Drosophila melanogaster: one gene and its partner. The protein of the gene in region 1 interacts with the protein of each later gene in a pairwise test. Each region holds a gene or a part of one and is shown on either strand. Other genes may lie near its edges. The genes, in order: Gnptab and CG4367.

Evidence for each region.
Region 2: the proteins of Gnptab (region 1) and CG4367 interact in a two-hybrid assay, tested with the Drosophila melanogaster proteins (one large-scale study listed by BioGRID).

The regions. Positions count from the first base shown.
Region 1 is NT_033778.4:9,205,197-9,209,124, reverse strand, and holds the start of Gnptab (N-acetylglucosamine-1-phosphate transferase subunits alpha and beta), read left to right. Parts: upstream 1-2,000; 5' UTR 2,001-2,100; coding exon 2,101-2,191; intron 2,192-2,252; coding exon 2,253-3,673; intron 3,674-3,730; coding exon 3,731-3,928. Other genes in the region: VhaAC45 (vacuolar H[+] ATPase AC45 accessory subunit), read right to left, coding at 20-708, 781-1,042, 1,109-1,211, 1,275-1,360.
Region 2 is NT_033777.3:20,303,339-20,306,746, reverse strand, and holds CG4367 (uncharacterized protein), read left to right. Parts: upstream 1-1,769; 5' UTR 1,770-1,791; coding exon 1,792-1,965; intron 1,966-2,026; coding exon 2,027-2,545; 3' UTR 2,546-2,792; downstream 2,793-3,408. Other genes in the region: CG4362 (uncharacterized protein), read left to right, coding at 1-203, 271-434.

The DNA of each region.
Region 1 (3,928 bases):
AACCGATGATGTAGGCGGTTTACTCGGCGGCGGCATTGATGGTGATAGTCTTGCCCTTGGGATCGTCGAAGCGGTCCATCGTGTTGATGTCCATCATCCAGCAGACGCCGACGAACATGATGACCAGCAGTAGGGCGACCACAAACAGTCCCATCAGGATACCGGGCGTCACGAAGCCCACACAGTCCCAGGAGTCGCCGAAGGGAAAGTCCTCCTTGTACGTACCATCGAAGGGAGCCTGCAGCTGCAGGGACTTGAAGCTCAGGGTGTTGTACATGTTGTTGACGGCCGCGGACTCGAGGGTGAGGTTGCCGCACGAGTAAGAGAACGTGGTTGGGGCATTCACGCCGCTGGAGCGGAAGTTGTTGTTGTCGTAGACCAAATTGCTCAGACTAAAGTATCCGCCATTATAAACAACGTCAAAGGTGATTGGCTTGTCGGCGACAGATGTGTCCATAACAACGGATAGCTTGGTAGAGCTAGAGTTGGTGAGCTTGAGGTCGGTGACGGTGATGGGGTTGCCGTTGTAGAGCAGGGCAGTGTAGAAGATCTGAAACTGATTGGTCGACTTCCACATGATGCCACCGGTTGTGGCGGCGGTGTCACGGCGGGTACGACGCTGCACCACAGGAGCCGTGGAGGGGGCGGCCAGGTACAGATAAGCCACCTTGCACTCGAACTGCTTGCTGATAGCAGCTATGGCGGCGTCTAAATGTGTTAAATCATTGTTAAATTAGTGTGTCTTATTGACGCCTTTGTAGTACGTTATTGTTGACCCACCATGTGACTCCAGACTGGCCTCCCGGCTCTCGGCGGCGTCCTCGAAGGTCACAAACAGGGCCGTACCTACGGCACACTTGGCCGGCGTGGTCAGCTTTCCACTGGCATCGATGGAGTTGTGCTCGCGCTTGGCGGCCACTGAGCGCAGTGCCTCCGAGGGGTTCTCCACGCTGGTGTAGTAGGTCTTGGGGCTCACTCCCTGCAGCTGGGCGTAGCAGGACTGCGCCTGGGAGTTGGAGCACAGGAAGTCCTTGCTGCTCAGCTGAGTTGGGGAACAAACACATGTGTCACAAGCCCTAGCTATCTAAGTGGGTTCTCAAGCACTTACGCCATTTTCCTCGAAGGCCACGACCATGTGATCTTCCAGCAATGCAGCCAACTGCTCGGCAAACTCCACTTGGGACACCGTCTTCAGGGAGGGTTTCGCCACACTGTGAAAAAAGGAGGAAGGCACTCGTTACACTCACATTCAACTGGTGCAGGCGCTCACCCACCTGTTGGCTCCCCACAAAAAGACGGGCGTTTGCTCCGCCACGGCAGCCCCAATGACGCACAACGCAATCAGCGATTTCCACAACATCGCGCTGGATTCGCTTACTTCGGTGGGGGTTTAATGGAAACAAAGGAGAACGAAAAATGCATAAGTAAGGAACCAAGGAGAACGCAAGAGGCACTAAAAACCAACCGAAAAGTGAACTGAAACTACAAACGAAAAATGGTGGTGAAAATTTTCGCTTTGCCTTGCTCGACGTCGCCTATTCCAGTGAGAAAAAAAACCTTATGACGGTCATGTGATGCGCACCAGCTGACCGCAGTGCTGTCTAAAAATACCAAAAGCGTGAGATTAGGAAAATACTAGAAAAAAATTATTCGACTCTGAGAGCATTTAGTAAAGCCTAATTGGATATTTGCACCAGGAACTGACATTAACTGGGTTTCTTTTCAAAATTAATACTTATAAGAAAGTATAGTTTGTCAAATAAGGTTCATATCTTCGGTGTCCAATTAGCGCAGTCACACACCTTTCCAGCTGGAAACTGTCAACGGAACCGGTTCCGTTAATTCCACATGTTGATTCTTTAAAACCCGTATGTTCTATTTCGCACTGCTTACTAATAGTTTAATTAAATATCTAAAGAAATTCGGGTTTTATACTGATTGCTTTTATAAGCTCGATTTGAACCGAGTTTTTATTTCAGTCTTTCCAGTTAGTAATTTTACGCAGTTCTAGCACGGCCACACTGTCCCGCAGGAAAACAATGTTTGTTATGATTTTACTGCGGGAATTGTGTGTGAAATGTGCCATTTGAGGACCTGAGAATGCGATTACGCCGCCGTTGGCCGCGAAGGATGCGGCGTGCCATGGAACAACTGCGTCTCCAGTCCCGCCGGAAGCTGCTGGCGCTCACGAGTGAGTTACCTTGCTCACCAGCCCCATTACTTAACTAATGTTCTTTTTTTTTCAATTTTAGTGACTGGAGGACTCTGCCTGGCTATCTGGGTAGTTGCCAACTATCTGTCCGCATCGGAGGAGGGCCAAACCGGCGGCTTCAGCAGCGCCTGCACTGCCATCGATGCGGTTTACACGTGGGTCAATGGCTCGGATCCCAACTTTATTGAGGACATCCGGCGATTCGATGACAAGTACGATCCCTCGCGGTTCGATGACAAGAATGAGCTGCGGTACTCTCTGAGGTCCCTGGAAAAACACGCCGCATGGATCAGGCATGTGTACATAGTAACCAATGGCCAGATTCCAAGTTGGCTGGATCTCAGCTACGAAAGGGTCACGGTGGTGCCCCACGAAGTCCTGGCTCCCGATCCCGACCAGCTGCCCACCTTCTCCAGCTCGGCCATCGAGACATTTCTGCACCGCATACCAAAGCTGTCCAAGAGGTTCCTCTACCTCAACGACGACATATTCCTGGGAGCTCCGCTGTATCCGGAGGACTTGTACACTGAAGCGGAGGGAGTTCGCGTGTACCAGGCATGGATGGTGCCCGGCTGCGCCTTGGATTGCCCCTGGACGTACATAGGTGATGGAGCTTGCGATCGGCACTGCAACATTGATGCGTGCCAATTTGATGGAGGCGACTGCAGTGAAACTGGGCCAGCGAGCGATGCCCACGTCATTCCACCAAGCAAAGAAGTGCTCGAGGTGCAGCCTGCCGCTGTTCCACAATCAAGAGTCCACCGATTTCCTCAGATGGGTCTCCAAAAGCTGTTCAGGCGCAGCTCTGCCAATTTTAAGGATGTTATGCGGCACCGCAATGTGTCCACACTCAAGGAACTACGTCGCATTGTGGAGCGTTTTAACAAGGCCAAACTCATGTCGCTGAACCCCGAACTGGAGACCTCCAGCTCCGAGCCACAGACAACTCAGCGCCACGGGCTGCGCAAGGAGGATTTTAAGTCTTCCACCGATATTTACTCTCACTCGCTGATTGCCACCAATATGTTGCTGAATAGAGCCTATGGCTTTAAGGCACGCCATGTCCTGGCGCACGTGGGCTTCCTAATTGACAAGGATATTGTGGAGGCCATGCAGCGACGTTTTCACCAGCAAATTCTGGACACTGCCCATCAGCGCTTCCGAGCCCCAACAGATTTGCAGTACGCATTCGCTTACTACTCCTTCCTAATGAGCGAAACCAAAGTAATGAGTGTAGAGGAAATCTTCGATGAGTTCGACACGGACGGTTCGGCCACCTGGTCGGATCGAGAGGTGCGAACCTTTCTCACTCGCATCTATCAGCCGCCACTTGACTGGTCTGCCATGCGCTACTTCGAGGAGGTGGTTCAAAACTGCACAAGAAATCTGGGCATGCATTTAAAAGTGGACACAGTCGAACACTCCACGCTGGTCTACGAGCGATACGAGGACTCTAATTTGGTTAGTACTTATGATTATATCTTACAGATTTATATTAATTGCTGACTGCTCTTTTAGCCTACAATAACCAGGGATTTGGTTGTCCGATGTCCACTTCTGGCCGAAGCTTTGGCGGCAAACTTTGCAGTCCGACCCAAATATAACTTCCATGTCAGCCCAAAAAGAACTTCGCACAGCAATTTTATGATGCTCACATCGAATCTCACGGAGGTGGTGGAGTCACTGGACCGATTGCGTCGGAATCCGCGCAAGTTT
Region 2 (3,408 bases), on another chromosome or scaffold:
GGGTTACTTCGAGTTCCACCTGTGCAACCTGGACGCCTTCGGTGCCGAGTCGGAGGAGTGCTTCGATCAGAACCGCCTGCGATTCATCGATGGAAGCGATAGAAAGGATATCGGCGATCAGATGGGCGAATTCGATGTGACAGTCGTCCTGCCGGAGGGTCTTACCTGCTCTCACTGCGTCCTCCGCTGGACCTATGTGGGTGGTAAGTGGTGGCCAGAACGTAAATGGAACTTAAAGTGAAAATTAATTGAACATCTTGTGCATTTCAGCCAACAACTGGGGCATCTGCGATAATTCCGGAAACGGAGCCTTGGGCTGTGGCCCACAGGAAACATTCAAGAACTGCGCCGATGTGAGCATCTACTGGGGTCGCAACCTGGTCAAGGAATTGGTCGGTGGCGGAGATCCAGTGGCTCCGGTTGAGGTCGCCTGAAAATCCAGACTAAAATTCAACGAACTGCCATTTATGTCTGAAAATGCAAAATGCCAAATAGTCAGCTAAAGTTATTTAAATAAATGAGTGAACATTTACACATTAGTTAATTGGGTCCTTGGAGCTGCTTCCTATTTATAGAAATTTAGTTTTATTTACTGTTTAATTTTGAGATCTTATCCAATTTAGATACATTATTTAAACAGATGTTAGAGATAGACACATCATAACCAATATTTTTTAAGTCCAAAACTATGCAACAAATTGTATAAATCAGAATTTGTTAATGTTCTACGGCCTTCAGGTATACAGTATTTCTGCTAGGTTTTGACCTAAAAAGCAAGCAAAAAAAAATAATAGAAATTTGTTTATATATAATAACAATAATAGTGTGTAAATTGAAGGCGAAGTGGCTTTAAAGAACAGAATTACGTTACTTATAGTTCGATTCTTTTCATTGCAAATTTCAATATTTTGTTCGCTTTCACCTTGATTATTAATGCTTAATTGATGATTCTGAGAACACGTTGTATCGATAAAACAAAAGCATATAACCGCAAAAGTTGACCAAATAGATTGTGTTTATAGGGCAATTTAAATTTATGAAATCTGAAGATAGATATGCATCTTTTTTTGCAGTATGTGCTAAAATATATGTCTTATTTTGAGCCAAAGGGCCATGAAAAAGGAAAATAGTGGCTTCAAAGTACTCGCATGTTTTATCTGGAGGCATCATGGAATAATCGAAACTAAATAATTGCTGATTTATTAATATACGAGCAGCTTAATCCCTGAACTTAAACGTGGCCAATTTTTTTTAGCTGCGCGCAAGTGCTCTAAATTTGTTGTTTAAAAAAACATTTGCGTTTTTGGCTATTGTATGGACCGTACTACAATATATGATTGGCAGAAAAGTGCTGAAGTCAAAACCAACTAAAATAGTAAGTAATTGCACTTAAGAATCGTTGACCTTGGCTAACAAATTTTGCGAAATCGTGAGAATTTTTCCAAGCCTTTGAACTCCTATCAAAATGGCATTGGTGGGCTAAATAATAATAGCATAATAAAGCAGTCTTCCAAGTTATTATGATTAGGTTACCAAAAAATACGGGTATTGCTTAGATGTGTCATATGTGTTTTCACACTTTCCAGGTCAGATACAAGAAATTCTCCCAAATTCTAACTACCAATAACCATAAACGAAATTAAGATTGTGAGCCGATAAGATGCATTCACGGTTATTGGACGAAAAATCAAAAACAAACATAAACTGCCCGGCAACTGATAAGGTTTGGCAATATGGAACTATATAAGGCCACGACCAGTTCGTTTTGGCCACAAAGAAAGTGAAATCAATATGAATACGTATAAATTTATCCTGTTTCTTAGCATGGGTTTTTTAAACCGGATGGGTGAACTGGAGGGCCACGGTATGATGTTAAGTCCAACCGGAAGATCCTCGCGTTGGCGCTACGATAACTCGGCGCCAACAAACTACGATGACAATGCATTATATTGCGGTGGATTTTGGGTAGGAGTGCCTTAAAAAAATTCTATATTCATTTGATTCAATGATGTTCTTAACCCTTTAGAAACAAACCGAAAATGATGGCAAATGTGGACTGTGCGGAGACGACTGGAGCTTGGAGCAGCCGCGACCCAATGAGTTGGGTGGAAAATATGGCAGTGGAGTGATTGTAAAGAGCTTTGCCGGAGTAGATGAAGCGGAAATTAATGTTAAGATCACAGCCAATCATCTGGGCTACTTCCGCTTCCACATCTGCGATTTGGACGAAAATGGCAGCGAGTCGGAGGATTGCTTTAACCAATATCCTTTGAATTTCACCGACGGTAGCCAGAAGTACTACATTAACACCACCACTGGCGATATCCCAGTAACCGTGAAACTGCCCAGTGATCTCAACTGCATTCATTGCGTTTTGCGCTGGACTTACACGGCGGGAAATAATTGGGGTGTTTGTGAGGATGGGACGGGCGCCATGGGTTGTGGGGCGCAGGAAACCTTTATTAACTGCGCTGATATCAGTGTACTATCCTCAGCGAGAAGTATTATCCAGGAGGTGCCCGTGGAGGTGGCGGAATCGAAGTGAGGTGGTTATCATCAGCGGTGGCCAATCGAACAATACTGCTAGTCTCAATAAATTATGTAACTTATTTATTTCTAATTGTTCCAAATTGTTCATCAACAATACGATTTTGTTTTAAGAAAAGGTTATTTTATTACTTCAATTCTTCATTTATGTATTGATTTAACAATACTTGATAAAAAATGCACCTCAAAAAGTTCCATTTAACAATAAGACAATAATAGTTAAGTATTTACGAACCACCATAAATAAATGCCATTTTGAAAATTATGAATGTTTATTTCTGTTTTATTCAATAAATTAATCGTCGTATATATTATTTATACATATATATGAGTGTGTGTTTTGAGTGTGTGTGTGGATTGTTGGTGATGACCGTTCGTCTTTGAGGTGCAGGGCATCGCACTCCCTCCTCCTAAGATGGATCCTACTTATTAAATTCTTGATTCTGAAAGCCCTGTCTTAGACGTGTTCTTAACGATCGGATGAGATTTGCACGGTTGAGTGCTTAAATATTTGTTGTTTTTAAGCTATCCTGTTTATGTTCGTATTTGTATCTTGTATGTTATTTTAATATTCGTAATTTGTCTTAAGTTATTCGTGGCTTACAAAATATGTTTCACATTAACTGGCTTATTAGTTAACTTCACAAATAAGTTGTATGTATATATATATGCATTCTTTTCTTTTATATTTTACAAAGCCTTCAAAAGTCAATTGCAAACGATAAGTCGGTAAATTCACTACAAAACTCAAAAGTCGCGTTTTAAGAATATCTATTGGTTTACGTTTTCCTTTTAACAATTAACTAAACAAACCGCAAACAACAGTGTGTAATCTCGATTGCCACTAATGATGCCATCAAT